4 linked regions of the Mytilus edulis genome follow. The protein of the gene in region 4 binds, or shares a complex with, the protein of the main gene of each other region. Links are inferred from orthologs where the notes say so. Each region holds a gene or a part of one and is shown on either strand. Other genes may lie near its edges. The genes, in order: THO complex subunit 4-like, THO complex subunit 7 homolog, THO complex subunit 1-like and THO complex subunit 3-like.

What was found.
Region 1: THO complex subunit 3-like (region 4) and THO complex subunit 4-like share a complex: the UniProt entries of both Homo sapiens proteins name them as parts of the transcription/export (TREX) complex. The link is inferred for Mytilus edulis from reciprocal best matches to the Homo sapiens genes THOC3 and ALYREF.
Region 2: THO complex subunit 3-like (region 4) and THO complex subunit 7 homolog share a complex: the UniProt entries of both Homo sapiens proteins name them as parts of the transcription/export (TREX) complex. The link is inferred for Mytilus edulis from reciprocal best matches to the Homo sapiens genes THOC3 and THOC7.
Region 3: THO complex subunit 3-like (region 4) and THO complex subunit 1-like share a complex: the UniProt entries of both Homo sapiens proteins name them as parts of the transcription/export (TREX) complex. The link is inferred for Mytilus edulis from reciprocal best matches to the Homo sapiens genes THOC3 and THOC1.

Annotation. Positions count from the first base shown.
Region 1 is NC_092352.1:25,278,196-25,285,839, reverse strand, and holds the start of THO complex subunit 4-like, read left to right. Parts: upstream 1-4,264; 5' UTR 4,265-4,377; coding exon 4,378-4,638; intron 4,639-6,440; coding exon 6,441-6,605; intron 6,606-7,058; coding exon 7,059-7,206; intron 7,207-7,644. UniProt on the Homo sapiens protein: Functions as an mRNA export adapter; component of the transcription/export (TREX) complex which is thought to couple mRNA transcription, processing and nuclear export, and specifically associates with spliced mRNA and not with unspliced pre-mRNA.
Region 2 is NC_092344.1:46,251,318-46,258,827, forward strand, and holds the start of THO complex subunit 7 homolog, read left to right. Parts: upstream 1-4,264; 5' UTR 4,265-4,279; coding exon 4,280-4,391; intron 4,392-4,841; coding exon 4,842-4,962; intron 4,963-6,540; coding exon 6,541-6,668; intron 6,669-7,494; coding exon 7,495-7,510. Other genes in the region: serine-rich adhesin for platelets-like, read right to left, coding at 416-520, 2,838-2,906, 3,059-3,146. UniProt on the Homo sapiens protein: Component of the THO subcomplex of the TREX complex which is thought to couple mRNA transcription, processing and nuclear export, and which specifically associates with spliced mRNA and not with unspliced pre-mRNA.
Region 3 is NC_092344.1:105,008,791-105,017,408, reverse strand, and holds the start of THO complex subunit 1-like, read right to left. Parts: upstream 3,357-8,618; 5' UTR 3,283-3,356; coding exon 3,232-3,282; intron 1,657-3,231; coding exon 1,583-1,656; intron 1-1,582. Other genes in the region: adenosine 3'-phospho 5'-phosphosulfate transporter 2-like, read left to right, coding at 3,458-3,462, 6,417-6,657. UniProt on the Homo sapiens protein: Component of the THO subcomplex of the TREX complex which is thought to couple mRNA transcription, processing and nuclear export, and which specifically associates with spliced mRNA and not with unspliced pre-mRNA.
Region 4 is NC_092347.1:86,566,043-86,574,023, forward strand, and holds the start of THO complex subunit 3-like, read left to right. Parts: upstream 1-4,597; 5' UTR 4,598-4,623; coding exon 4,624-4,800; intron 4,801-7,981. Other genes in the region: CDK2-associated and cullin domain-containing protein 1-like, read right to left, coding at 1-66, 971-1,079, 1,881-2,007, 4,211-4,316. UniProt on the Homo sapiens protein: Component of the THO subcomplex of the TREX complex which is thought to couple mRNA transcription, processing and nuclear export, and which specifically associates with spliced mRNA and not with unspliced pre-mRNA.

The sequences.
Region 1 (7,644 bases), on a different chromosome or scaffold from region 4:
AGACAATACAATACAGTTCAATATAATATAATAATAAGTATGATGTATGATAAGTGGTGATGTGAATGGTTGTATTCACATCATATGGTGGTAATTTACACAACTAGAAACCTCTGATTTTTAGTTTTAAGTCCCCAACGGAACACAATGACAACATAAGTTACAAAATGCATTCACATTCGTAACATATAAATAAGGTGCTAGAGTAATCAACTAAATAAATTGCATTTTTCGTATCACACTTAAAGGAAGGTGGGGTTCATTCAATTCTGTATTCTTTAAAATTCGTTATGGCCCTTTTCTCTATTCTTTATATTATATGGTTTGTCCCTTATTCTCTCGGTGTTCTTTAAATTTTAGCACTCCAATATTCACTATTCTTTATATTTTAGCACTCTATTATTCTCTTTTCTGTTGTTTTTTTTGGGCGATTTTCTCTTTAATCTTTTTATTTGTTTGGCCTTTATTCTGCACTTTTTACCCATTATTCTCAATTCACACCTTATTATAGGTGTGTGAAATGAAATATATCGCTGTTTGCAATGAATAGTTAACAGGCTGACCACAACTATAAGAGAAACTGTGGCTTTTTCAACATCACATTCGTATCAACCCGTGACAACAAATGAATATATATAATCCCAAGAACTATGATTGTTGGATTATATTGTCACACTCGGCGAAAAGGGGACGGGATTGTAGTAACACCATTTAGAATTAACATATATCCACTATCATATGTGAAACGGATATATTCCATGACGGTTAACCAACTCATGATGTCATCCGTAAAACGTAAGAATTATTTCAACCAGTTATCTGTTTATCTACATCTATACATCTACATCTTGCAGCTCTGTCGTCACTCGAAAAAGGCTCTTCGACCCATCACACAAGTATCAAGTTAAGTTTGACGTCTTCCTACATGACGAAAAAATTGTATATGATATTTAATATACAATAGTTCCAAATTGTGCTCAAAATTATGTACAGGTGCTGGTTATAAATATCATCTATCTTTTGTTGGTGTTGGTTAGCCATTACAGAGAAGCTTGGTGAGTTTGGACTATAATTCCCCACTGCATGCTCTCAATCTCTAGTAAAGTTAGACTTGTAGTTTATTCCAGTCTCTGGTGGCCCAGGGAAGAAAGCTGTACATGTAAATATCGATCTATTTGATCTGATTTGTACGTATCTTTTAATATCTCGAAGTTCTTCTTGGTTTTAAAATGGGATGGCATAGGTACAATAACCTTTTCACGGATGGCTTTATGAAAGAGCGTTGTACGTGCTATAATTCTTCTTCTGGTTTCTAGTGGTTTCGGGTTCAATTCTAAAAGTGTTGTAACTGTTCCAGGCTCTCTTGAGTAGCTGCAAGCGTATTAAAGGTGATGTCGGACAAGAGCAAGATAGGCTTGTTTCTTGACTTCCTCTGGACATGACCCAACCTTTCTTCGTATGAAGCCTAGTACTCTGTTTCCGTTATTGACATCTTTTCCCCATGCATGACATTGTGTTGGTAAGTTTAGCTCCAAGGTATTGGTTTGATGCGCCTGATCATGCCAAGAACATGTCAATTGATGTTGAGGTTGAAATGGATGTTTTTCTCTTTTTGGTAATTGTAATGACATAACATTTTGAGAGATCATTTGGTCCACTTTACCATTTTGTCAAGATCTTCTTGTAATTTTTTACAGTCGTCCTTTGATGATATCGCTAGGTACGTTAATTTATCGTCTTCGAATAGGCGAATCTTTAATGTTATTTCGTTTTGCTATGTCGTTTATGTATAGGAGAAATCATCAGTGGTCCTTAAACTGTTTCCTGTGGTACGCCGGGTGTTACTTTAGTAGTACTTGAACTTTCCCCTTCCAGTGTGACTTGTTGTTCTCTTTGTGTCAACCATGCTTCTATAACCAGGTATGTTTCCCCTGGCCTTGATACCATTTGATGCAAGGTTGCCAGTTATGTCCTCTGCTGTAATTACTGGTTGCGACTCAAGCAATCTTTTGCTTCTGAAGCCACGTTGGAATTGCACAAGTATATTATGCTTGTCAAGATGGTTCATCATGATGTGGTTGAATATGACATGTTCCATTACTTTACATGGAACTGACGTCAATGATACTCTTATTCCCTTTATTGAAAAGTGCAGTGACATTTGCAACTATAGGCAGTCCTGTGGTACACTATGATCTTTTAATGTTTTGGTGAAGATAAGCTGTAAATATTTTGATATTGACTCTGCACACTCTTTCAATATTCTGTATGATATGTTGTCTGGACCAGTTGCCATGCTTTGGTATACTCCCTTAAGTAGTTTGGTTAAGACCTCGAGATCTGTACTGATGTGTAGATTTGGTATTTCTGGTGTTTCATTTTCAGTTATGATTTCAGTCTTCCATTATAAATACTGATTGAAATTGTACATGCAGTTTTTCTATCTTTCCTTTGCCATGTTTGCTGCTGTCTATTGTTCCTCCCGTAACTTTGAGTGTTGATACTCCCATTGTTTCTCTCTTACACTTGGAACTTTAATAGCTTCCTTGTGAAATTGATGATTTATGCATTACATAGCACTTTAGCAGTACCTCTTTCGGATAGTTTTTCTATTGCTACAAATTTCAAAAATAATAAGGACCTACTGTATACTTTTTTTCAAAAAATATTTAATTTGAAGAAGAAAAAACATTGTCTAGTTAAATAATATTAATTAAGTGTAAATTCAAACTTTTGTAAAACTAATATTTTTTACATCTAACTTTAATTGATACTTCTACCATTTAATAAGCATACATATATATTACAATAATATTGTCAGTTTGATTTATTTTTTTGCAGCTATTGCAGTTATGTTCGTATACAAGTATAGTCATTGAAAAACCTAACAAAGATATTTAGAGATTAAAGTTTTAGAAATGAGTTGATTGACTGATAATTGACACCTGTCACTAAAAAAACACCAGAGGCGTATATATGTCTTTGAAAACACTAATTAGTTTGTATAACACTCAATTCCTTTTTTTTTTTATGACAAGTGAATTTGTAATTTTAAAGTAATTGAATTACATTTAGATTAGATTAAATTAACAATATGATAAAAAAAAAAACAAACTTATACGGTAATGGTAGATTAGAATCCTGAAAAAAACACAGAGATAAAAACTTCGAAATATAAAAAGTCTGACCGGCAGAGGAACAACCTTAACTTGCATTTCTATACTCTAGTCTATATATCAGTTATACGCCATATATACAATACAATAAAGAGCTTTGATAAAAGAACAAAACTATTGTTTTGTCCTAATAATTAACATAAACAATTAATTTTATGCATTGATTTGTATAGATTGCAATACTATATGCACACACATAGTACATTACAATATTTTTTGGTGTATTTCCCCCGGCTTTAACATCTTAAAAAAGGTATATCATTATAAGGATTATATATATTGTATATTTGTGTCTGTTATTTGGTTTGTAATCTGTTATTTATTGGATTTTCTTTCTCTGTATTCTCTTTGGTAAACGGACAGAAAGTCACAGGACAAAAAGTCACAGGACATAAAGTCACAAATTAGGTAGGACAAATAGTCACAGGACAAAAAGTCACAAATAATTTGCTGACAATTGCTTGGATATATAAGAGAATATTTTGAAATATGCATACTAAAGTTGAGGAAATGTGTCATTATACTTGAAAAATGAAGATTTATTTAATTTTAATCATGCAAAAGATATATTTCTTGGCACCATGAAGCCATTTAAGTGCAAAGCAACGTTGACAATATGTTTTTTTTAACAATTATTTGATCATCTTAAATGAAAAATTTTGTTTACAAAGTTGGTTTATATACAATAGTTCAAGAAAAATACAAAAATATTTTTGTAGAAATAAGGGTTTTTTATTCAAAGAAAATATGAATTGTAACTTTTTGTCCTGTGACTTTTTGTCCGTGACTTTTTGTCTGTGACTTTTTGTCCTGTGACTTTCTGTCCTACATTCTAATCTTTATGCCCCTCGGGGTCCAACATTGGCTCATAAAATTTATATAATCTAATTCTTTTTTTTTTTTTTTTATCTTTTACAGTACATATACGCCATATTTACAAGAAAAAGACTAGGCATTCTTCGAGTTTTTTGTTGGGCGTAAGGCATAGTACATTTTAACATAAGATTCATGTGCCCCTGTGATCGAGGCAAGATCCAACCCGCACTTATTTTTTTTCAAAAGCAAGGGGAGACAATCTTATTATAAAATTCCCTATCCCATCGTGCACCACTCGTATGCCGCCATTTTCACTAAACAGAGAACACGAGAACACCAACAAAGCCGGTAGATATTGATTGAACAACGTATTTCTACAAAGGTTATGACAATGGGAGACAAAATGGACATGAGTTTAGATGATATAATCAAGTCAACCAAAAAAGGAGGTCGTGGTAGAGGAGGCGGTCAAAGGAGGGGACGCGGTTCCGGCGGCGGTGGTGCCGGTGGTGCAACAAGAGGTAGACGCGGGGGAGGAGGCTTTGGGGGCCGACAGAATCGAGGCGGCGGTGGAGGAGGAGTGTTTCGTGGCGGCATTCAGAAAAGAAGAACCAGTGGTGGTGGAGGAAGACAAAGCTTTTCCCGGGTAAACTTCAAAAATGATGTCGACATCAGACCAGTCTTTGTTTTTGTTGTGTACATAATTTCATTTCATTATTTTGTCTATTTCTTAATATAATTTGTGGATGCTAGGCCTTAAAACTTTTGCAACTGCACAGGTTATCATTACTTAAGAGTAGTTTTTGTCCAATTCACTAATTTTTTATGCCCCACCTACGATAGTAGAGGGGCATTATGTTTTCTGGTCTGTGCGTCCGTCCGTTCGTTCGTCCGTCTGTCCCGCTTCAGGTTAAAGTTTTTGGTCGAGGTAGTTTTTGATGAAGTTGAAGTCCAATCGACTTCAAACTTGGTACACATGTTCCCTATGATATGATCTTTCTAATTTTAATGCCAAATTAGAGATTTTACCCCACTTTCACGGTCCACTGAACATAGAAAATGATAGTGCGAGTGGGGCATTCGTGTACTGAGGACACATTCTTGTTTATGATTATTATCAACATGCTCATTAATTTGAGGAATATAAATACACCTTATCGTTAAGCCTGGCTGACATGAAAATCTGTCCCATTTGAACTATGGCTTCATACAAAAATGAAAATCACTTAAATTCCATTGTGGCGTCAGATATTTGTATTGTTTCAAAATTTTACAGGAACCTGTGTGATGTCCAGTTTTGAGTAATGGCGGATAAATAGCCATAATAAGGTGTATTATAAACCATCTTATCGCTATTTTGTGCATTTTTGTTTGATCTTTTTATGTGATAATTTTTCATATCATGCTACTCGCCTGAGATGGAAAATTATCGCTAGAAATAAAGGAGGCATGTGGCGTTGCTAATGAAATTGAAAACGTTGTCATAGGTAAAATAGCGATAAACAGATCATCATTGGTCATCTCAACTCGATTGCTTTTTTTGCTTTCGTCTTTTCGGCTCAAGCGAGAAAATCAATCTTGTTGAGATAATCAACAATAATCTATAAATATATGTAGTATTATTTTTTGTTAGATCACAGACAATTGTGTTCTGTGAATGGGGGATTTACTATCTATACTTGTACAAAGTTCATGAAACATGTTATATTGTTGTAAAGATAAATAAATTACCAGCAGATTGATGTGTGTACATGTTTAATCATGGGAAATGCAAGGGAATGTTAGAAAATATAGGTTGAATTAAACACTTTTTGTTAGCTACATGTACCTTGTGATTTTTCATACTACATATGATATATCTGTTATTTATTTCATGATCAGTCTTCAGGCTCAACCATATATGTAGGCTCACCAGCCTAGGCTTGTAAAAATGCTGTCTTGCCTGTCAAAAATATCTCTACACGCCAATAGAATATAGCTAAAAATTTTATAAGACTCAGCTTCAGGCCTGTAGATTTAAAATATTGACGTGAAGACTGCTTGTTCTGAAAAAGTATGCACAAATACACAATGTTCTAAAATTATTTCATGGTTTTCTACATTTACAATTGTATATATTGTATATATAATTTACATGATAAATTGTGAATTGATGAATTAAAGACTAAGTTGCCAGACACAATAACTATGATTTTGACATCAAGTTCTGGACTCTATATATTATTTGTTTATCATGTTGATAGGACTGTTGAATATTTGTCTAATAACCAGCATATTTGCCTGAAATTGTATAAAAAAAACCCACTTTTTTGCTGACTTTTTGACAGCCTTTTGTATCTGTTTATACATGCTGATGCCAGTTAAGTTAAACAAGTAATCTAGAATGTAACACCATGAAACGTGATTGATGCATAAAAATTAATAGGATTTGTTTTTCCATTTGTTTAGTCTAAAGACACACCAGATGATGTATGGAAGCATGATATGTTTGACGGAGATGTTGGTACAATGAAGAGGGGTAGAGGAGGAGGAGCTGCTGTTGGGGGTGGTGGCAGCACAAGTAAACTACATATATCCAATTTAGACTTTGGGGTCAATGATTCTGATATACAGGTACTTCAATTTAATAAGATTTTCATGTTGTTCCTAGTTCTTTTGCTTTTATGTAGGAGTTTGAAATATAGGAAAAGAAACATTTAATACATACATGTACAAAATGCAGATAGTCTTGTTATCTTGTATTCTTAATTTTCAAAACATGCAGATATTTGAATAAAATCTTACCAGTGAGGAATTACATTTGTATTTTATATTTCAATGTATTAATACAAGTTTTAAGATTACACGAATATGTATTTTAAACAAAATCATTATAAATATTACTAAATTAAAGGTGGCATAGTTTTGTTCATAAAATCTTAAGACATGAAGAAAAACAAAATGATAGACATATTACCTTGAATCATATAATAGATGTTTTAACAAAAGAACCAGTTAGAAAATATGATCATAACTGCTCAATTTGAGTACATTTAAGCATGCTTGCATTTTAATTTTTTTCTTCAGGAACTGTTTGCAGAATTTGGTCCATTGAAGAAGGCAGCTATACACTATGACAGATCTGGAAGATCTTTAGGCACAGCAGAAGTGATATATGAGAGAAATTCAGATGCTGCAAAAGCCATGAAACAATATAATAATGTTCCTTTAGATGGTAATAGTCAATGAATATATACATGTTGTTACATAACATCTTTTTATCTGGTATCAAATAGTTAGGTAATTTCTACTGTTCCAGTTGAATCTGAATAACAATATATTGTGTAAATAAAAGTTTATTAAAAATATATAAACACATAAGGATAAAAATCATTGATCTTTTTATGAAGACTAAGTAAAGTAATGTCAAGTAAAAAAGTATGTAGGAAATTCCATAGTAAGCACCTGTTTTGTCCAAATTATATGAAATTTTTATCAAGAGATTAATATAAGCAATAATTTACAGTGACCTAATCATTACTGATCAAGGACTTTCTAGTTTGTGTCAATGCGAGAATTTTATGAAAACTACAGGTTTATATTAGCAACTTTCTCGGAAGCTGACACCATGATATAGCCTTTTTTTGCTGATTTGGCGTAATAAAAAATCAAT
Region 2 (7,510 bases), on a different chromosome or scaffold from region 4:
TATATAGCTTTGTAAGATAGTTTCAGAGTTGTTACAAAGTAATCATTTCTATAGCTTGCATACTGTGAATTTTATATCAGGCAAGACAAAACCGATCTGCAGATTTTTCTTTAAAATTTTTATGCATTTCGTACATACATGTAAGTTGAAAGAAGATTTTGACCATGATGTTTAATGTATTTTTTTTTATTGTACTCTACATGCTCTGGTTAAGGTGAATAAGCATGTCAAGTTTCATGCTTGAACTCTCTAAATTGAAAATCGTAAAGATTCATTACTGATTTATTGGTTATTTTGCTTGATGCTTGGAATCATCTAAATGACATGTATTGTGATGGTGGTCTTGAAAGGCTCAAAGGTTAACCAGTCAATCAACTTTTAATAACCAATTGATATGATGGTGATCTTTACTTACGTAGATGTATGTTAAGCGCTTGTGGCTTTAATACTTTATTACACTTCTCGCACTGGACAAGAAAAAACTCATCTTGAGAAGGACACACTCCAAACAATGCACTATCTGTTAGAAAGAAAACAAAACTATATTACTTTATAACTTTATAATTACATTAGATGTATGTTTCATTATAATATTTTATTCTGATTGGCTAACTGCACATCACGTGTTATTCCGTAAGCAGTTGCATTGCTCAATACATCTTTTCACTCATGATAACACGTGCTCCAACAATAAAGTGCACAGGTGAATTAAATAATAAAATATATAAAATTTGTGTTTTCATGATCATAGCTAAAAAATGTAATTATAAGTATTGAATGCTTCTTTTTGTAACATTATAGGGTTGTAAAAGCGTTGACCGTGCGTACATTTTTAGAATGAAGCGCTTCTGCGCTTCATACAAAATGTACTTCGGTCAACGCTTTTACACCCCAATAAATTTACAAAAAGAAGCATTCAATTCTTAAATACAATGTACTGGACGGATAAAAATTGTCTTGTAGTTTACACACTCCATTAACCAAACAATGCACTATCTGTAAGAAAGAAGAAAAACTATATTACTTTATAACTTTATACAATGCACTGGACAGATAAAAATTGTCTTGTAGTTTACACACTCCATTGACCAAACAATGCACTATCTGTTAGAAAGAAAACAAAACTATATTACTTAATAACTTTATACAATGCACTGGACAGATAAAAAATTTCTTGTAGTTTACACTCCATTGACCAAACAATGCACTATCTGTAAGAAAGAAGAGGATAAGATATTCCATTGACCAAACAATGCACTCTGTGACGTGTCAAAAAAATAAATTATACAAATTTCTTCATAACTTTGTACAATAACAAAAAAAAATTAAAATTTAGTTTCAATTGGTAATTAATTTTCAATAAATGATCCACAAGACAAGATATAAAAAAAAAATATCTGTTTCTTCCTCCAACTATATTTTAGACATCCAACCCTAATACATTCTTATGTCTTACCAAATTTTATATCAGGAAATAAGAGCTTTGAATTGTAAGTCGACTACAAAAACTTAATTCTGCTGACTTGTTGAGATATTTAGAGGATAATAATTAAGTAAAAAGATTGACAAAACAATTGAATCTGAAAGATTAAGAAGCATTTGGATGTGTACTGTAAATTTCGATTGGAGACCAGTTTAGATAAAACAGGTGATTTTTCTCAAATTATGCTGATAATGAAACAAATAAAAAAGAAAAAGCATTTCCATTGATTTAAAAGTGATTTACTTCAGTTTTGTATTTTTCTTATCAAATTAATTTTGTATACTAGATCCATTGTTCATGCAGTATTAATGGAGTGTGTGATGTTTGAGTACCAAAAATAACACAATTTCTGCTTTAGCTTTTGAAAGATCTTGTAAGCTCAGCATCTACAAGGAATTTAAGGTTCATCATAAGGAATTGAAAAATATGGCCGTGTTTACACCTCCAAAATTACTATGAGTACAGACAAACTGGTACATCCAGGAAAATTTTAAGGCATGGCAGGAACTAGATATATAAAAGTTATATGAAGTCTACGTTTCAGAAAATTATAAACTTACCTGGATTTTGATGTTCATTTTTTTCCAGTCTGCAGAAGATAGCAAAATAAACAAACACCCGAGTTTCGTTTGATACGGTCCACTCAGTTACACAGTTTAAACCTGTTAAATCACCTATTGTTTACAGGTGTCTATTGTCCATCTATTGTCCATTTAAATCAATACTACTCACAACATTGATTATATGAGGGGAGCTTCTCAATCGTTTTCACTACTTAGTTAATTTTTGCACCTTCTGCAGGAACGAAAAAAAATGGATAGCAAAATCTAGAAAAGTTTATAATTTTCTGAAACATAAAATGCATTTAAAATTTATATATCTAGTTCCTGCCATCCCTTAAAACTGTTGCAGGTGTATAGGTTAGTCTGTACTCAGAGTAAAATTTGGGGTATAAATACGGCCATTTTAGCCAAAAGGTTATGATGAACCTTAAGAGCAACAGGTATAGATATCAATGGTGAATATATTACTCAGAAACAATAAGATAACATGGTCATAAACAGGCTTCAAAAATAAGAGTCAAAACCATTTGTCATTTTAAATGACAAATGATTTTGACTCTTATTTTTGAAGCCTGATTTTTGATGAATCATTTTTATGCTAGGTTGTAACCAATGTAGAGTGAACATTTAAAACTTGATTTGTCATATTTTTTGTTTATTGTTCTCTTTTTAAAAAAAAATGGTATTGAACTTCATGTAAAAGATTTATACGCTATTCTCCATGTCAAACTACATTCAAATCAATGTGTATAAAATAAGTTCAACTTATCTTTTGTTACCAATGCTATTACCTTCAACATTCAGTTTCATACTATCACTGTCGTCTGTAGCTTTAGATTCAGAGCTTTCACCACCTGAATCTGAAAATATATAAGAATTTATTTTGACATTTGTCAGGGAAATTTTGAAAGTAGAAACGACACTGGTTATGGAAAAGTTTTGAACATTCAGAAATTTGTAATAGCTTTTGGACAATACATGAATCATTTAAACGATGATATTCTATTCTCACCACTATATGGTGGGGAAGGCACAGTATTGGCCCATTCGGACCATGGTTGACCCGCAAAATGCGACGGACTACTGTCCAGGGTCGCCATTTTGCAGTTTTTCTTGTTGCTTTCTGCCAGTCCGACTATCACCGATGTTTTGTGACGTCAAAGATCGGGAAACTCCGTCGTTGGTCTTGGTCTTCCGCTTACGCCAACGAAAATATAGTTTGTTAAATGATGATTTTAACAATTCAAAAGTTCCTATTTTTTTACGAAGATCGAAAAATAACTCCAAATTAAAATATGAAATATAGAAATTAACAAATTAAACGAAAATGTGCCACAAATTTTTTGTATTTTATTCAAATTTGATGCTACAAGCGACGAAAATGGCAGTGAGTGATGGTTAGTCTTCTCGTGCTGCATGCTTTTCATGTTTTATAATGTTTATGAAATTAGATTGATTGATTGACTTAAATGTGTTCAATGCTAGATAGAACATAGATCCAAATTTAATATAATTCCCTCAACTAAGGATTATGTGGCCCATTTTCGAATCTTTTTTTATTTTCTGAAACACAATTTCTCAAAATGCAAATTTTTTTAAGTTATTTTATTTGAAACGAGTCGTTTCGGCCAAGCCAATGGAGCCGGTTCGGCCTTTGTTGATTCAGCTATATAATAATAGTCGTTTCATCCATTCTTCAATTATATATTAAAAGATGATTTGTTGTATTTGCTTTGGGAACAAACCCTCTATCTATGGTGTTTATACCTTTATAGAGGGTTAATCCTTCTGTATTTTTGTTAAGACTGGATTTTAAGCAAAATAGGGCAGATTAGCATTTTCTAGTTATATTGGCTATAATATAAAGCATTATATGCATCAGTTATTGCACTTTACTAAAATTGGGATGCCCAGATTTCTGCCGACAGAACTTGAAATTTACATGTATTTTATACCTATCTCACTGTACAATAGATTGTATATATACAGTCAGTTTAGCAGTAAACTGGGTATGTGCATATTAAACTAAGTACATCAATTGTTGCAGGTTACTGTCATAATAAGTAGAGACTGCCAATATACCCTATTTTGCTTTAAAACCAATCTTAACAAAAATATCCCTCTATAAAGGTATAAACACCATATAGATTATAGAGGGTTTCACCGTTTGTTCCCAACCTGATATATACCTTTTATATAAAATTTGGAATTTTTTGAAACACAATTTCTCAAAATGCATAATTTTCCTGAAAAAAAGTTGTTTAGGCCATGCCAATGGAACAGGATTGGCCTATGTCGATTTGCCTATGTAGTAATAGTCATTTCAACCATACTTCATAAATCATGTACTTCAACTATATATATATTAAAAGATATTTTGTTGTATTTGCTTTCATTTATATGCCTTTTATATATCGTAACTCTAAAAAAATTTTAACTAAATTGCACTTAAATGGTAATGATGTGCACAAAATGACATAAGCAAAGGCCAAGGGATATGGTTACGGTCTTGTTTTGAAATGATTAAATTGAATTATAAGTTGATTGGATTATTATGATACACACCCCTTGTCAATCACTTTGACACTTATTTTATTACTTAACTAATCCAATTATCTAATTAAATATACAAATGTATCTGTGTGTAATCAATTATCTTGAGTAATATAATAATTAAAATAGATGTATTCATGTATTCTCAAATCCAGTTCAATTTTATTTAGTCAAATACAGAAATCAAACCATAAACTAATTATGCTAATAGTAAATTATTAAACTAAAAACATTTTTTATAGATGATATTTTTCGGAGGAGGTTATTAATAGAAGGTGATGGAGGTGGTGACGATAAGAGAATTGCCAGCTTATTGAAAACATTTTTCCATTGGGCAAGTGAATCAGAGACCAAGGAAGAAAAGTAATCTATAGTTTTTGTAAACTAGCTTAATTTTTTTTTTTAGATTTTCATTGATACAGCTTTGTCTAATGTCCTAATATGTTTGAGAACTTATTAAATTGTATTTAGTAAATGCAATAATCAATAAATATCATAGTCATGATAGTTTTAACATGGAGCAGGAATTTTCCAACATGTTGAAAATTTCCAAATTTACAATTGTATGACAAGTTAATGCCACCTTGAAAATACAGTTTATCAAGATTTTGAACACCTACCCCTGTGCCCCAATAGGATGACATGCAATGTAACATGCACAACTTGTGGCAATGTGGTACATGTATGCAGTATGTTTGTGAGTAAGAACAGCCCCTGTATACTAAAACTGAGAATGGAAATGAAGAAAGTGTCAAAGAGACAAAAACCACACCAATGAGCAGAAAACATAAATGTGCATGAATGGCCATGATACACAGAGTTACCATAATCATAAGTCAGTGCTTTTTCTCACACCTTTTTGTTTATTTATGGTATTAGATTTGTAGAAAGAGAGATTTAAGATACTAAAGATAGCCAAAAATCAATGACAAGACATACATACTGCATTAAAGATTCATTTTACAAAATACTGAAGCAACACAAAGACGTAGAAAAAATCTGGGGTGTTTTTTTGAAGAAGTATACAGAAAATGAAATTTTGCACCATTTTTTGCCAAATGATATTCACTTTGTATGACAATATGGATTTCTGACAATGAGTTATATGCTTGTAATTAATATAATGTACCTTGGCTGTAATTAATAGATATCTCTGCTTTTGCAGTCTGAGAAAAATGTTAAATCAAATTGTAGTTTTGAGCAAATTACCAAACTGGTCGATTGGAAAAATACAACAGTATTAGTAGCACATGTGGCCTGTGTTATATGAATTTATATTTATAAACATGATAAAAAGATACTTCTGTTTGACTCTGTTCTGTAATGAATGATCATGAATCATGAATGACTTAATTTATATCAAATGTTTTTTTTTTTCAAATTGAAAAAAAACCAAAATATATAATGTAAGAATAATACATTGTATTTATATTTTTATGCCCCACCTACGATAGTAGAGTGGCATTATGTTTTCTGGTCTATGCCTCCGTTCGTCCGTCCGATTCAGGTTAAAGTTTTTGGTCAAGGTAGTTTTTGAAGAAGTTGAAGTCCAATCAACTTGAAACTTAGTACACTTGTTCCCCATGATATGATCTTTCTAATTTTAATTCCAAATTAAAGTTTTGACCCCAATTTCACGGTCCACTGAACATAGAAAATGATAGTGCGAGTGGGGCATTCGTGTACTATGGACACATTCTTGTTTATTATGTTTTCTGATTTTTTACAAAGATGAAGTGTTGGCAACTGGTTTTTTTTACAGTTGCTCCCAATCTTTTTATTAAATTTATTTTACCTTTATGTGAAAGCTGATTGGGGAGATGTACAAAACTACAAATGTATAAGTTCTTACAAATAACAAATACCCAATTTGTACAAGTTCTTACAAATAACAAATACCCGAACTATTTTCTTTTAATGAAATACATGTTCCTTTTTCAGTCATGCCCAGTATGAGAGAATGATGAAAGACCTAGCTCTGTGTGACTGTGCTGCAGGAAAATGTTTGAATGTTTTCAAGATGAATTTGAAGGAGCAATCAAATTATGAAAAATTAAGTAAAGAAATTGGTAAGATATAGAAATAGTAAAGAAACATGGTGGGATGGTGACAAGGTTACACAAGTTTTCAATTTGTATTTAAAACAAATCTGTATCAGAATCCTAAAATGAAAACAATAATAATAGTGCAATTGTAGCTGCATATATAATATAGATATTGTCTATTAGACATACAACAACTTATAGTACAGTGTAAGATGGGATGATTCTATACCCGAAGAATAAGTACTTAAAATAAGATTTCTGTAACTATTAGCATTTTGTTATTACCTTAATAAAGAATTGTTGTTATGTTATATTTTTTTTTATGCCCCATTTATTTTGCCCAATATGTTTTCTGGTCTGTGCGTCCATTTGTCTGTTCATTCGTCCGTTTGTCTGTTCTGCTTCAGGTTCAAGTTTTTGGTCAAGGTAGTTTTTGATGAAGTTGAAGTCCAATCAAATTGAAACTTAGTATACATGTTCCTTGTGATATGATCTTTCTAATTTTAATGCCAAATTAGAGTTCTGACCCCAATTTCACGGTCCACTAAACATAAAAAATGATAGTGTGAGTGGGGCATCCGTGTACTGGGGACACATTCTTGTTTGTAATGTTCATTTCACTCTTATTATGAGTAATAGGATACAATGTAACTACATTTGGTATGTGCGTACCTTGCAAGGTCCACTTGCCTGTCGGACAGTTTTCACTTGACCTTTCTTCTATTGATGTTAATTGAATAGAAAACATGCCCTAGTTCCCATTTAAAAAAAAAATTTTTTAATTAGCACAAAAGATTAGGTGATCTGCTGGAAAATACATGAAATGGGCTCTGTACACTTTTTTTTTCAGAACAAAAAATAAGTGA
Region 3 (8,618 bases), on a different chromosome or scaffold from region 4:
TGTTTACATTAATTTCTGCCTTAATAACCAACTTACTAAACAAGGGCACTTTGGGTAATCATAGTTTGAGTGTAAGTAAATCTTTTACTTTATGTGTATTATAATTGACAAGGAATAAAATCACTTGATATTGTGGTATATTAATGTTTTGCCAATAGAAATGAGATGCGGGATTTATATCAATGACCAACCCAACAACAAAAATAAAAGACACATATCATGGAATATCAAATCATTTTACTTACGCATTGACATTTTTATCAATGTGTATTTGGACCAGACATAGTTGTGGAGAGTTCATCTTCATTTTTTGTGTATGCATGATCTGGTATTTGTGTACTCATTTGGTCAGACAATATACATATGCATGATCTGGTATTTGTGTACTCATTTGGTCAGACAATATACATATGCATGATCTGGTATTTGTGAACTCATTTGGTCAGACAATATACATATGCATGATCTGGTATTTGTGTACTCATTTGGTCAGACAATATACATATGCATGATCTGGTATTTGTGTACTCATTTGGTCAGACAATATACATATGCATGATCTGGTATTTGTGTACTCATTTGGTCTGACAATATACATATGCATGATCTGGTATTTGTGTACTCATTTGGTCTGACAATATACATATGCATGATCTGGTATTTGTGTACTCATTTGGTCTGACAATATACATATGCATGATCTGGTATTTGTGTACTCATTGGGTCTGACAATATACATATGCATGATCTGGTATTTGTGTACTCATTGGGTCTGACAATATACATATGCATGATCTGGTATTTGTGTACTCATTGGGTCTGACAATATACATATGCATGATCTGGTATTTGTGTACTCATTGGGTCAGACAATATACATATGCATGATCTGGTATTTGTGTACTCATTTGGTCTGACAATATACATATGCATGATCTGGTATTTGTGTACTCATTTGGTCTGACAATATACATATGCATGATCTGGTATTTGTGTACTCATTTGGTCTGACAATATACATATGCATGATCTGGTATTTGTGTACTCATTTGGTCTAACAATAATTATATACATATGCATGATCTGGTATTTGTGTACTCATTTGGTCTAACAATATACATATGGTCTGGTTAATTAACACAATGAATGTTGTAAAATTAACATTTGATACTGTATATTTCCTCAGGTATGCCCCTTTTGAGTTGTCATCAAAAAAGGAGAAAATCAAAATGAAAATTTTATTACAACTGCATACACAGGGTGTAACTGAAAAGTAGTTAATAGTTTTAGAAGTTACAGTATTTTGGTTTGTAGTCAAGTTTGTTTGAATTAATGAGCCATAACGAGTGAAGCATTCCCATAGTATGACTTTGATGCAACAAACTGTTTGTCATGCATTTCATGTGATGGTCCAAAAACACATATGGTCTGGAACATATACATGTAAAAGAGATATTCATGATACTGGATATATACTTAGTTATACTACTAACCGTATTTATATAAATATGTTATTTTCTTTGGGACATGGATTTAGCAAATAAATAAGCAATATACTCTTTTCTGTCTCTTTAATACCCACCTTCCATTGTATGATTTGTATACTGTAATGCACTCCACATTAGACTTTTGCAACAGAGATTCTCTCAAAGCACTCTGAAATAATAAGTAAGTTTTTTAGTTTAAAAAAAATCAACAGTCATACATGTGCATGTATATGAAAACAAGACTGCTACTTTTATTTTGGATGTAACCTACTACCAATTCACCAACATTCCAACTGACTCCATTTTCAGAAAACAATATCTGTAACAAACATTAACTTTTAGCTACCCCTTTACAATCAATGAAAGTCCCAACTATGTATTGGCTTCCGAAGCTACACAAAACACCTTACAAATATAAATTTAATTCGTCTACAAGCCATTGTTCCACTATTTAATTATCTATTCTTCTTACCAGTACACTTGGTACAATCAAAAACCTGATAATAAATTGTTCAAATAAGGCCTTCGAAAATAGTGGAATAAATTACTTTTGGAGTGTCAAAAACTCGTTGGAAGTACTTGATAAATTGCATGCTTATATTGGTGATTTTGAATCTGTTCAAAGTTTTGATTTTTCTACCCTATATACCACATTGCCTCACATTCTCATTATGAAAAAATTCACACCCCTAATTAAATGGACATTTAAAAAGTCAGAATGTGACTATATATGTTCACTCTTTTAGGTCATTTTTTAGTAGCAATAAACAAAAAAAACTATGTCAATTGGACATGCTTTGATATTATATCTGCCCTTCAATTTTTATTAGATTTATTAGATCTCTTTGGAGATTCCCTATATCGTCAGGTTATCGTAAATCCAATGGGGACCTGTTTTTGTATTGCTATGAGTCACAATTTATGACAAAAATCAGCAAAGACCCATCGAAACAACATCTGATACACAAATTTAATAATACTTTTAGATATTTGGATGATATTTTGGCTCTCAATAATGACGACTTCAGTATGTATACTAAAGAAATTTATCCTGTTGAACTTACTTAATAAAGCTAATACTAGCAATGACCACTGCCATAAGACATAAGACATAAAGCTTTATTTAGAGTTGGTATAAGCAAGCAATTACAAACATAAGCTCTGAAGAGCTTTTAAAACCGAAAATCCTCGATCTTGATATCTATATCATTAATGAAAAGCTTAATACTAAAATTTATGATAAAAGAGATGATTTCTCATTTCCTATCGTTAATTATCCATTTTTAGATGGTGACATTCCCTTGTCACCATCTTACGGAGTTTATATATCTCAACTTGTATGATTCGCTCGTGTATGTAACAATGTTTTAGATTTTAACAAGAAAAATTTATGTATTACTGAAAAATTATTTATACACCATTTTTCATGTTCTAAAAAATAAGTGATAAAACACTCAAATTCCTATTTGCTGACAACATAAAAGAGAAACAAACAAATAGAACCAATGTTTGTATAACTTTTAGTCTATACTACGTTTATTACATGGCCGAAACGACCAAGACCGAACCGGCTCAATGACAATGGCCGAAACGTCTTGTTTCCCAAAAAAATATGTAGGATTGTTTGAAGAAATTGTTGTTGTCAAATTTTCATTTAAATGAACATGTAAAAATAAGTGTCTTGTTGGTTTAATTCAAGCTCAATTTAAAATTTGAAAAAGTTATCTAAAAGTGATGGAATTACTGTAAATTTTCCCACAGATCCCAGAAAGTTAAATCCGATGGAGGCTGCCATCTTGAAATTTTCCGCAATATTTGATGACGTACTTCACACTTCCGGTCATATTTTGACGTTTCGCTGGCCCACGAAACACCGACTAGTGGTTGGCAATGTGCATACCTTAACTATTTAAGTGGAAATGAATATTTGACAGTCAAGGTCGTTAAAAACTTCCATTTGACAACCAAAAATGATGTAATTTTATATTATATAGATTGTCTTTGCCCTGCAAACCAACACCCCATTCTTAGACTATCTAAAAAAAAGAAGAACAAGACCATATATAGCAGGGCTAATGGCACAACCATAGGCTTTAAACTGAATATGAGGCAGGCATTACCTGTGAATGGGGACGAAGTTTGTTTAAATTATTTTTTTTGTAATTTAAATATTTGTTAAAAAAATATCCTTTACTATGTTTAGTGGACCATGAAATGCGGTAAAATCTCTAATTTGGCATTAAAATTAGAAAGATCATATCATAGGGAACATCTTTACTAAGTTTCGAGTTGGTTTGACTTCAACTTCATAAAAAATTACCTCGACAAAAACTTTAACCTGAAGCGGGACAGACGATCGGACGGACGAACGAACAAGCGGATGAACAAACGGACTAACAAACGGACTAGAAAACATAATTCCCATAAATGGGGCATAAAAATTTATTGTTGAAAGTGAAAACTTTAACCTGAAGCGGGACAGAAGGACGGACGGACAACGAACATGAAAACATAATTCCCATAAATGGGGCATAAAAGTTTATTGTTGAAAGTGAAAGTAGTAATTTGGCCAAAATGAAAGTAGGGTAGAGATTAGAGGGAGGCTGGACTTATTCTGGACGTTTGGATCGGGTGTTTTTAAACTCTGGAATATTATTTTTTTTTAATTTCGGGATGTCAGCTTATGAATTTCGTTAAAATACGCACCTCAGGATTTCATTTTTTTAAAAGCCCGGGACTTCGGGATCAGGGCCCCTCAGACCACCCCTCAAATGAGCCTTAGTCATTTATATGAGATCCAAATCCTACCATTGGCATGTTAATAGGGCTCTCAAAAGGAAAAGCATTGATGGATTGTCCTACAAGCATATTTTATTAGAATAATAATGCATGATCTATAAGCAGTTTCATTTATTTCATGTTTGAAGCGGTGCAAATTTTTAATTTAATTTGACTTTTATAAAAAAAAAAATGCATTGTAGCAAAGGTGAAGAATAATTGTGGTATAATGCCAGAAACACGAAAATTATTGAATTTAACAGAAAGGAAACACATAACAGATTTTGGAAAAAAAGATAGAGGGCTTTTGATACCTTATATGAAATTCTCCAACCATAATAAATTTTACAAAAATTCATCCTACAACAGTTTACAAGCTGTATATGCCCGCGATTTCGCGGGTGTGTTCTAGTATTATAATATTGATTTTGGGTCACTTGTGCACAAAAATGAAATTGAGGTCAAGGTTATATTTTAAATTTTTACTTTTCCTTGTTTTATGATCTCCTCTCTCACTTTTAAGATATAGATACAAGAACTATTGAAAAATGTTGGCCTGATTGTGATGTAGATATGATTCATTTGGTCTGAAACAATCCAATGACATCTTATATGAGTTATTGTCCCTGAAATTATTAAATTTAAGATGAATTGATTATTACTCTAACTTGGTACATGATAAAGCCATACGGTCTTTAACAATCTGTTGGGTGACATATAACCTTGAAAAGTATCACCTGGAGGTAACCTTGAGTAAATTGTAAGTAGCTATTTGTGCACTTATTCCTTTGAAAAGTACCTTAAAACTTTTTTTTTAGATAAGCATACAAAAACCTAATATTTGAGATCAGAAGTGACCTTCAATAAACCAGTACCTTATATCTCCCTTATTACAGGCAAAAGTATATAGAAACTATATATTTTGGGAATCCGTGTGAATAAAGCTATCTTATGAGACTGGAAGTGACATATTTAACCAGAAGTTGATAATTATCTCCCTTGTTTCATGCAAAAATATATAGAAACATATATTTCATGTATTTATTGAATCAGTATGAATAAATCTTTATGCTTGGATGCCAATAGTAACTTTGAGTTAACTAGAAGTAGCTTCTTATTGATAATTTAGAAAAATTGATGTGGAAAGACCACCAATTGTTCTGTGAACAATTGATTTTTAATATAACTTTAGTGAATGTTCTTACATGTGTCATTGATAGGCCATATGTCCTGATTCTTTAAGGTATGGATGATCCACTGGAATCTTCACACATCACTACAGGCCTGGCAGTCCAGGCAGTCCAGGCTTGTAAAATTTCTTTCAAGCATGTAAAAATCATCTCTACAGGCCAACAAAATCTAACTAAATTCTCAAAAAATTGAGATACGAGCCTGCTGATTAAAATATTTATTGTGAAGACTGTGAGTGTGACCACTATTTGAAGTTTTGTCACCAGATGTATAACCTGGTGAATGATTTTGTGTACATGTATTGAATAATGTTTTCTTATTCAGATATGTTTTTATTTACAAAGTTTCTTTTTCTTATGACAGACTTCTTTTTGTGACTTGTAGGTTTGAGAGAGTTCACCTTTAAAAAAAAACCTAGGAGCTTGTATATGTGTGTCATAGTTGAATCACATCAGTTGATGCATGATTGAAGTTTTTCAGGTTATCATGGTCATTTTTTTTCACTGGCTAAGATTCAAGATTTTTAATAATTTGAATCAAGAAAATTCTATCTTTTACCAGCATGCGTACAACCATTTTAGATATCATTAATTGAAAGATATACAGTCATTAAATTTGTGGACATTTGTAAAATTAATTGTATGGTAATTATATATTGATTTTTATCCATATAGAAACAGATGGTAAAAAATCAATGATGTTCAAAATGATATTTCAGTTATTATAATTTAAATATATACATGTAATGTAAAGAAATGATTCAATGTTTTTAACTAGAGCTAGGAGTCGGCTGTTTAAGTGTTTGGAAAATTCCTATTGTATTAGAGCTTGTATTTGTAAAGTAGATGTATGTAAACAAAATTCATGAACAAAATTAAATACTCGCTCTGATTTTGTTTTCACTGACTAAATGGATTGATCATACAAAAAAATACATAACTTTTGCTATATTTGTTTTAGATCAGTGACTCCTCGAGTCACACCACTATCTGTTGGACTACTGAGACAAAAGGGAAGTAACTCTGCATTGTACGAAATGTCTCAAAAATCTGCTATAGTTCCTATGCCAGAATCCTCAAATAAGAAAACAACAGAACTTAAGATTGGATTTTTTGATATATCAGGACAATCGCCAACTATGCAATTCATCCTGCTTACAGCTGCAGTGTTTGTTTTTTATTTGGTATATGGTTATATGCAAGTAAGTTACAAACATTATAACAATATTCCTTTTTGATGATGTACCCATATTTATGATCATTGTGCTTTGATGGTTTTTATACGACTGCAAATTTTGAAAAAATTTTCGTCGTATATTGCTATCACGTTGGCGTCTGCGTCGTCGTCGTCGTCGTCGTCGTCGTCGTCGTCGTCGTCGTCCGGCGTCCGAATACTTTTAGTTTTCGCACTCTAACTTTAGTAAAAGTGAATAGAAATCTATGAAATTTTAACACAAGGTTTATGACCATAAAAGGAAGGTTGGTATTGATTTTGGGAGTTTTGGTCCCAATATTTTAGGAATAAGGGGCCAAAAAGGGCCCAAATAAGCATTTTCTTGGTTTTCGCACCATAACTTTAGTTTAAGTTAATAGAAATCTATGAAATTTTGACACAAGGTTTATGACCACAAAAGAAAGATTGGGATTGATTTTGGGAGTTTTGGTTTCAATAGTTTAGGAATAATAAGGGGCCAATAAAGGGCCCAAATAAGCATTTTTCTTGGTTTTTGCACAATAACCTTAGGTTAAGTAAATGGAAATCTATGAAATTTAAACACAATGTTTATGACCACAAAAGGAAGGTTGGTATTTATTTTGGGAGTTTAGGACCCAACAGATTAGGAATTAGGGGCCAAAAAGGGACCCAAATAAGCATTTTTCTTGGTTTTCGCACTATAATGTTAGTATAAGTAAATACAAATCTATGAAATTTAAACACAAGGCTTATGACCATAAAAGGAAGGTTGGTATTGATTTTGGGAGTTTTGGTCCCAACAGTTTAGGAAAAAGGGGCCCAAAGGGTCCAAAATTAAACTTTGTTTGATTTCATCAAAATTGAATAATTGGGGTTCTTTGATATGCCGAATCTAACTGTATATGTAGATTCTCAACTTTTGGTCCCGTTTTCAAATTGGTCTACATTAAGGTCCAAAGGGTCCAAAATTAAACTTAGTTTGATTTTGACAAAAAATGAATCGGTTGGGTTCTTTGATATGTTGAATCTAAAAATGTACTTAGATTCTTGATTATTGAAGTTTTTTTGGTCCAGTTTTCAAATTGGTCTACATTAAGGTCCAAAGGGTCCAAAATTAAACTTTGTTTGATTTCATCAAAAATTGAATCCTTGGGGTTCTTTTATATGCCAAATCTAACTGTGTATGTAGATTCTTCATTTTTGGTCCTGTTTTCAAATTTCAAATTCTACATTAAAGTCCAAAGGGTCCAAAATTAAACTAAGTTTGATTTTAACAAAAATTGAATTCTTGGGCCTCTTTGATATGCTGAATCTAAACATGTACTTAGATTTTTGATTATGGGCCCAGTTTTCAAGTTGGTCCAAATCAGGATCTAAAATTATTATATTAAGTATTGTGCAATAGCAAGTCTTTTCAATTGCACAGTATTGTGCAATGGCAAGAAATATCTAATTGCACAATATTGTGAAATAGCAATTTTTTTTTTAAATAGAGTTATCTTTCTTTGTCCAGAATAGTAAGCAAGAAATATCCTATTTGTGCAATAGCAAGAATTTTTTTTAATTGGAGTTATCTTTCTTTGTCCAGAATCAACTTAAATCTTTGTTATATACAATATACAATGTATATACACTTTTTACTACCAACTGATAAATTTAAATAATCTTTACCATTCAGTGATAACAAGCAGTTTTTTTACATCTTAATATTTTATGATGTATTTAAATGAGTAGTTATTGTTGCAAACTCCATTAGTAATTTGAATTGATATCAGTTTTGAAAAAGGGAAACGGGGATGTGAAAAAAAAGGGGGGGGGTAAATTTTTCTCATTTCAGATTTCATAAATAAAAAGAAAATTTCTTCAAACATTTTTTTGAGAGGATTAATATTCAACAGCATAGTGATTTGCTCAAAGGCAAAAAAAACCTTTTAAGTTCATTAGACCACATTCATTCTGTGTCAGAAA
Region 4 (7,981 bases):
TGCCTGTTGATATTGATTCCATACAGAATAATATTTCTCTAAAAATTGTCTCCCATCTTCTTTCTCCTGCAAGTATATATAACCCTGCATTTATTAATGATAGACAAATAATGTTCATGGTTATATATATATATAGATTCTACCATTGTATCAAGTGTGATGCAATATTCATCCACGCAAGACCATTAAATCTTCTAGGGATTAGAGAGTTTGTACTGAGATATCTCTGAATATAACCTGAACCCTCCATATATCATTTAAATTTTATCATATATTTCTGATCAATTTTTCAGATTAAAATAATTCCTTTTTATAACATGAATCATATTTAGTGATAACAAAAGCAATAGCAATACTTTATTTTCCCACACTGATTCTCATGCATTATTTAAAATAAAATGCTATTCCCAACCTGTCTATTTCATCGGATACATTAATGTTGAAAGCTTGAATAATTTCAAGACATTCATCTTTGTTTTTGGAAAGGAGTTAAATCTTTACAATTATATTGATTATTCATTTAACCTATTAACATTTAAGTATATAAAATATTTTTTTATCTTATAATCATCAATTCACGGACTACAATATGCGTGTCAGTGTTCTCCCCAGATATTTCATATAGCATACTGCTAATTAAGGAAATTTGAAATACCATCTTGTTTTTAAAAATTATAGCATCACATCAATAACACAATCTATTAGAAAATCCATTCAGATAGCATCACATTCAGAAATATCACATTACCATGATGCTAAAAGGCCCTGGGTGTAACATGATGTTACAGCAAATTAAAACAAGGATAAAATTTAATGCCCCCTCCGCTACGGCAAAGGGCATAAAAATGTCAGATACATGCTAAGAAATCTTACAAGTTGTAATACATGAGAATGAGTGTGGGGAAAATATAACTTGATGTGATCTAGGAAATCTTTATTTTTTACAGATGTCCCCCAAAATAATACATACCCATGCCTGGAATTCCTCATTCTTTCCTTCAAGATATTTTGACATGTACTGCATCAGATCTGAGTACAACCTTTCAGAAAATTGTTTACATACACATTTATATACACAACTGAAAAGAAGAAGAAACATGTCATTCCATCATGTATACAAAGTATAAAGCCATCAGTTTTGTTCTGAGTGTCATCTATAGTTATAGTGGTATAGTTTTGTGTTGTCATACAATTTGTATGTGGTTAATTTCTTTTGGTGAATATTTCTGTACTTGTTTTTTCTTGCTAGTCTGTATAAACAAATGTTTAGTATATCATATATAACACAAATGTATCACTATCATGTTCCATGTACCATAATTCCTTAAAAATTCTTAACCAAATACTTAACATTTTAAATTTACTGTGTGCTATTTTAATAAGTGTGTACCACTGACAATCCACAACAATGTGTGATAGATTAAAGCAAATCTGATACAAGTTGAGCAGTTTTAAATGAGTATCAAAATTTGAGTAAGTTACAGGAGTTTTAAGCACATTTCATTCGTCATGTTCATTTAGGCTACTAAAGAAAGAAATTCAAATTAAAATTTGTCTGCAATTATCTGGTCTCATTTCTGTACCTTGATATGATGAGTTAAAAGAGATATTTGGTAAAACTCAATGAAATAAAAAAAAAACCAACATAGTCTTCAACAAAAGACAAGTGCCTTTTCGTTATAGGTCAATGATTAAATTGAATCTTGAAATGCTAAAGCTAATTTTATAATATTTTGTCATTAATGTGACTATGACTATATATACCTTATACAATATTTAGTCAATCAATCTGTTTATGGGTTTTCATATGTATTGCTCAGCTATGAACATGATGAAAGAATTTTTAAATGCAAAAGTTAAAAATAATATATGTTATTTACCTGTACATTTGTTCATAAGATATAGGTATTCCTTGACCTGGTGCCATGGTCAGCAAATGATTTATTGCCTCCTCTAATTTTGGCCAATATTGAGATTCGTAATCACCAGGAGTCAAGGTCATCATCACTACAAAAATCAAATGAGTTCAATGTGAGAACTCATAAGTATGGAGCAAAGATCTTTTTGAGATTTCAGAGATAGGATAAATCAAAATTCTATTCTCAATCTTATTTCTCAGAAAACTCAGAGGTAGGTAATCTGAGAACTCAGATGTAAGGATAAGTTATATTACTTACCCACTATCTAATACACATGCTATTATCTCCTACTAAGTAGCATATTAATCTATTGCAATAAAACATCATAATATCTAATAAAATGTGTAGATTTAGCTAACAAAGTCCTTATATTTGTATAAAGTAACATTCGTTTAAAGTGGAAAATTGTTTTAACGTTGAATAAGCTACAATTAAAAAATGCTTGCTGGTCCCTCTCTGTGATTACCATTATATTACGCTGGTTCATTTCCCAATCAATCTGTCACCAAGGGAAGATAAATAAATCGATTTTCGTTCATAGTCTTTTTCAAAAATGATGAACGGTTCTTTATATTGGTATGTAATCATTTTAAACGTTTCAAATTTATGAAATTATATTCGTACATCAATGTTTTTGATACACCAATAACAAAAACTGAAATATATTGAATTGATACATTTTGTAATTATTCAAAATTATATCAGAAACCTAAACTTAATTATAAAATAATGAACCTGTTAAGGGGAGAGAATACTCGCATAACTTTTTCGAATTGGCACATAATACAACGAAATGTCACTCTTGCATACAAATGGCACATCAATATAATTAATTATCTGCGAAATCGTCCCCCACCTTCAATGATGATTCTAAATTATAAATATAACCAAAAGTTGTTAATCTATAGATAGTTAAGACTAATGAAAGCTAACCCAATGTAAAAATATTTCTTTGCAATTTTTTAAAACTTCCTTAGAAAAATACTCGAGCCACTTGACTTTCATAGCTCAAAATTAACGTTTTTACACAATATTTGAATAAAGAAGTTGAAGATTATTCGCTTCTCAAAGTGTAAGACGCAATAAAAATCGTATGCTTGCACCATCCTACCGAAATACGGTTTTAATTAAGTCCTGAACATTTCGACATTTCTTCGTATATTTTGAACAAAACCGGTTTTAACCAAATCACAAGTACGTGTTAAGATCCGACTAAATACCTATTTTCCTATATGGTCAGGTAAAGTTGCTATACTAAGTTCCAAAATTAACAAAAAATACTACTGTAAATTCAGAAATTATTGCACTGTTTTTATTATTACAGTTTAAAATGACAAAATCGCAATAATAAATGCACACAATAATTTCTGAATTTACAGTATTTTACATGTGACCCCCCCCCCCCCCTTTTTTTTTAACAAAAGACCTCATAACTCAAAAATAAAAAAGTATACAGATCTTTAGATTAATATAACTAAGAAGTGTGTAAAGTTTTAAGCAATAATTATCAATCATTAATGAGATAACATGTTTACATCTGATCATCAAGGGATATTTTTACTTAGGACCAACTCCCAGAGGGACAGATGGAGAGATGAACAAACAGTATAACTGCTATATGCTTCAGATCAAATATTGAAGGATGACAGACAACACATTGGTGACATTAGTCATCAACTTTGGGAAAACTTTATGCTATTTCATATTGGTTCCATCCTTGTAGATATAGAAGTCACATGATTGTTTGGTCAGCGATTCCAGTGCTCCATTTACAGCAGCCAGAGGAACTGTGCATATATAAACACATTTGATAACCAATCAGCTGTAGCAGTTGAGCTAATGAAGTACTTTTTTAGCATCATTCCGTAGACACCCTGCCTTGTAATGTAAACCTTGGGTGCTAAGTGAGATGTGGGATTGGCTTAATTGTTTTAAGCGTGACACATGAAAGTAAAATAATTTAATGTAAAAACCGGATACAAAGTCAGATGAGACACGTGAAATAACATGCGCTATTGTGGCAACGAAAAGCCGGATACAGGATTCTCATGACTAAACAATAAGCAAGATCCAGGATCAGACCCCCAAAAATTATCAGACCCACGCTACAGAGGTCCTGGGTTCGATTTATGTTTGAGACAATGAATTTAATAATGACATTCATGATCCCAGTTACAGTTGGTTGGTCATTTCAATAACGTCTTGTGGCAACAAATGATTGGAAAAATGTGTTTACATATGATATGAAAGTAATGGGTAAACACTTATTTTGAAGGGCGATGTAGACATACCCATACTACCAGGTCGCAGAAGTGGATGTTCTTCAGCTTGGGACACATTTTCTTTGCCTAGCTCTGGTTGTGTAGAGTCAGCCTCTGCATCCATAGGTTCATCCATCGTTAAAACTTGTGGCAAGATTTTCGTTTACTTTGCTTTTATTTTTCCCCGGAAGTCATTAAACTAATTGAAGAAAAATGTCGGTTGCGGAAAAGATCCTTTGGTCTTCCTAAATTTCAAACTTCGTATCCGTGAAGATTTTTCCTTAGACCATTTTTTAATCAATGCTTTATAAAAATACAACATAAACTTGAATTCAATTGTTTGATGAAATATTGTACATTTTCATACGTCAAATATTCGCCAAATATGAAATATGTGTTAAAAAAAGTAGCTTGATCGGAACCAACGGACTCAAAATAGAACTATGGCTTCCTTCCATGAAACCACGAGAAAATATTTTAACAGTAACAACAGAATCAGAGAGCTTCAGGCACATTCAGCAAAAGTTCATTCTGTTGCATGGAATAGTGATGGGAAAAGACTTGCCTCTGGGTCATATGACAAAACTGTCAATGTATTTGTTTTGGATAGAGAACGGATGGTTGGTTTGCTCTTGAAACAAATTAGAACACACATTGAACGATCACAAACACACATTGAACGATCACAAACACTGAGTAGACATTATTTTTAGACCCCAAATTATCACTGAAATACCAGGGAATAAAAATGAATGAAACCCAAGATTCCTGGCAAATTAATCCATCACCTTTTCTACTTGTCAGTTTTACAATTGTGCACCATTTCTCAACAATTTGATCAAGGATTTGTATAGTTATACTATACATGCTATACTTACTGTCGCACAAATAAGCTCGATCAATAAGTACAGAGAATAAATATTTTATACAAAAATATATACTTTATAATAAAAACTTTAACCCATAATGTTGAATTGAATAAGTTCACCAGCACACTTGAAGACCTGATATTTAATTAAATTACAATCTAATTTTGACACTTGTCATAAATCACCAATCAAGCCAATAAACATGTCATTAAAGTTTTCACACCTGAGATACATTATCAAATTCATTTAATTGAATTACCTCATATAATCAGTTGGCAATTAGAATCCAATCAAAGAAGAAATTTGATAAAGTTCAAGATTACAGTGAATTGAATGAATGAATGAATACTTTATTGCAAAATTGAATTCCTTTACTTTTTTGTAAATGTCTTCACATAATCTTTGTATTGAAACTATTGTTTGTACTAAGGGAGCTACCATTTGATTTTTATGGGGGGGGGGGGGGGGAGGGTGCTAGGATGAAAATTTTTGTCCTGCATTTTTTTTAGCTGTAATCTCTGTCCTGCCTTTTTATTTTTCACGCTGTTCAGTCCTGCTGTTTTGTTTTTTTTAGTTTATCCTGACTTTTTATTACCTAAATTGTAGTCCTGACTTTTTTTTTTGCAAGTGTCTCATCCTGACTATTTTTTTTACTCAAAATTCCTGTCCTGCCTATTTTTTTCAAATTTCATCCTAGCCCCCCCCTATAAAAATCACATGGTAGCTCCCTAATAGAAATGAAAGAAATTGTATTTTTTGTGATTTAGGAGTAATGGAGGGTGTGTATTATGCCATATGTATACACTGTACATGTACTTGTTTATACTGATGAGCCGTAAGGCTCAAAGTTAATAAAGAATTGGAAAATTTGAATATTAAGAATACAAAACTGGCTCTCATTTTGTAGATAAAACTAGATAGCTGACATGAATTAAATTAAAGTGAGACCACCAATATCCCGGTATTAACTTGAATCATTTGAAAAAACAACAACATTGTATTGCATTATGACCTTTTAATAACATTGAAGGAGTAACAATTATTTGAGTTACCCTTGGAACCTCAGTCTCCAAAAACACCCAAAACACCAGACAAGTTGAAAACACCAGACAAGTTAAAAACACCTTCAAAACAGAAGGCTTTATACATGTAACTCTGAAATCTACTTACAGATTGAGGTTTGCTGATAATGGTGACTGTGACAGGCAAGATCATTAGATACTTCTTACTGACCGCTCACCTTCAGTAAAGAAAACAAAACTTAACAAGATTTCTTGGTTTAAATTAATGATAAAAAAAAGAGAAAAAAAGAGATACTAAACACTTGTGTAGATCATTTTAATATATTTCATACATCGGGTAATGTGAATTCCGTCTGGTCAACTTTTTTTTTTGAAGAAATACATTTTACAATAAAGTTTATATTTTCGTATCATATATTACCAGAAATCAACGTTGATTGGTCGAAATATTTCAAGATGTCAGACTTGCTGATAATGAAACTACAAATGTAGATTGTATTGTATGTTGAAAAAGGTGGACTATCTGGACTCCGAAAGATCGTTGATCATAGAAAGGCACACAAAAATGTAGAAAACAGTTTATCTATACATGCTATAAGTGTATACAGACATGGCTGTCTGACAAGTACAGAATAAGCAAAAAATGAGCGTAAACAAATTGTCCGCGATCTCCTGTTATGAATGGGCACTGCTTTCTGTCTATATTGCAAAAAGAATTAATAAAAAAAATAGAAAATAGCAAAATTAATAAAAAGCAAATGTAAATTAGTAAATATATGCATTATACATGTACATGTTATAGGAACAGAAGAATTGGGTCTAACACTTCCCTGCATCTTGTTTATCAGATCTTGAATGACATGTGAAATATACAATGAAATTATTGGTAATTTACGGATTATGTGAATTAAAAGACTGTTAGACATGAATTACACTTCAATCTTTTAAATCTGTCTGGCAAATTACAAACAAATGAAAAGTATGTAAAAACATTTATTAGGCATATGATAGATCAGCATCTCAAATAAACATCTGTGCTATGAGCCCATGACACGCCCGTTGCATTTTCAATCATGTCAATAAAGTTCAATAACTTCTCAATGCTACATGTATATCAGAAATTTATAAGAAAACTAAAGGGAGGTTATCTTAATAGATATAAATCAGTCAGTTTAAGCTAAATAAAAACTGCTCTAATCACTTTAATGATATATATGTAGGACTCTAATGTGCGATAGGGACGCTAAAGTACGATGGTCATGCTAAAGTGGGATGGTCTACGCTTAAGTCCAATGCCTCCATAAGCTAAAGTGCGATGGTTCGCGAAAGTATAGACATCCGAAACGTAGTTGAATTATGACGTTAACAGTCGCTTATACAAACCAAAAATTAACATGCCGGAAGATGAAATAAATAATGGAAGCGAACAGTTCAAATTAAAATGTTTACGTTTACGTTGAAATATTGTCGATTTTATTGACGAGTATAAACGTCGGTAAAATAAAGGTACACATTTTCAAGCATAAATCATAAATTGTCCATAAGACATCAGTGTGTACATTGTAGTAAAATATAACATTTACTTGCTAAGAAAGAGGTGAAAGCTCGAACAACAACCCCTTTCTTTCGCATTTAAATTAAATGTCAAAAATTCATTTAAGGGAAATATAATAGTATTTTGTGACACCTAAATAACCTTTTTAGCAAGTATTACTAGGTTTAAGTCTTCTAAATTTAGAAACAGTCACAAGACTACGGGTAAAGTAAAAGTCTATCCCATTATATGTTATATCATAGCAAACTAGAATTTGCAAAATTAAAAGACTTGATTTTAACATTATAGTGGCCTTGAGTCTTTCTCTTTTGTTCCATCACAATTTAGCGAGCAATACCATTGCACTTTAGCAAAC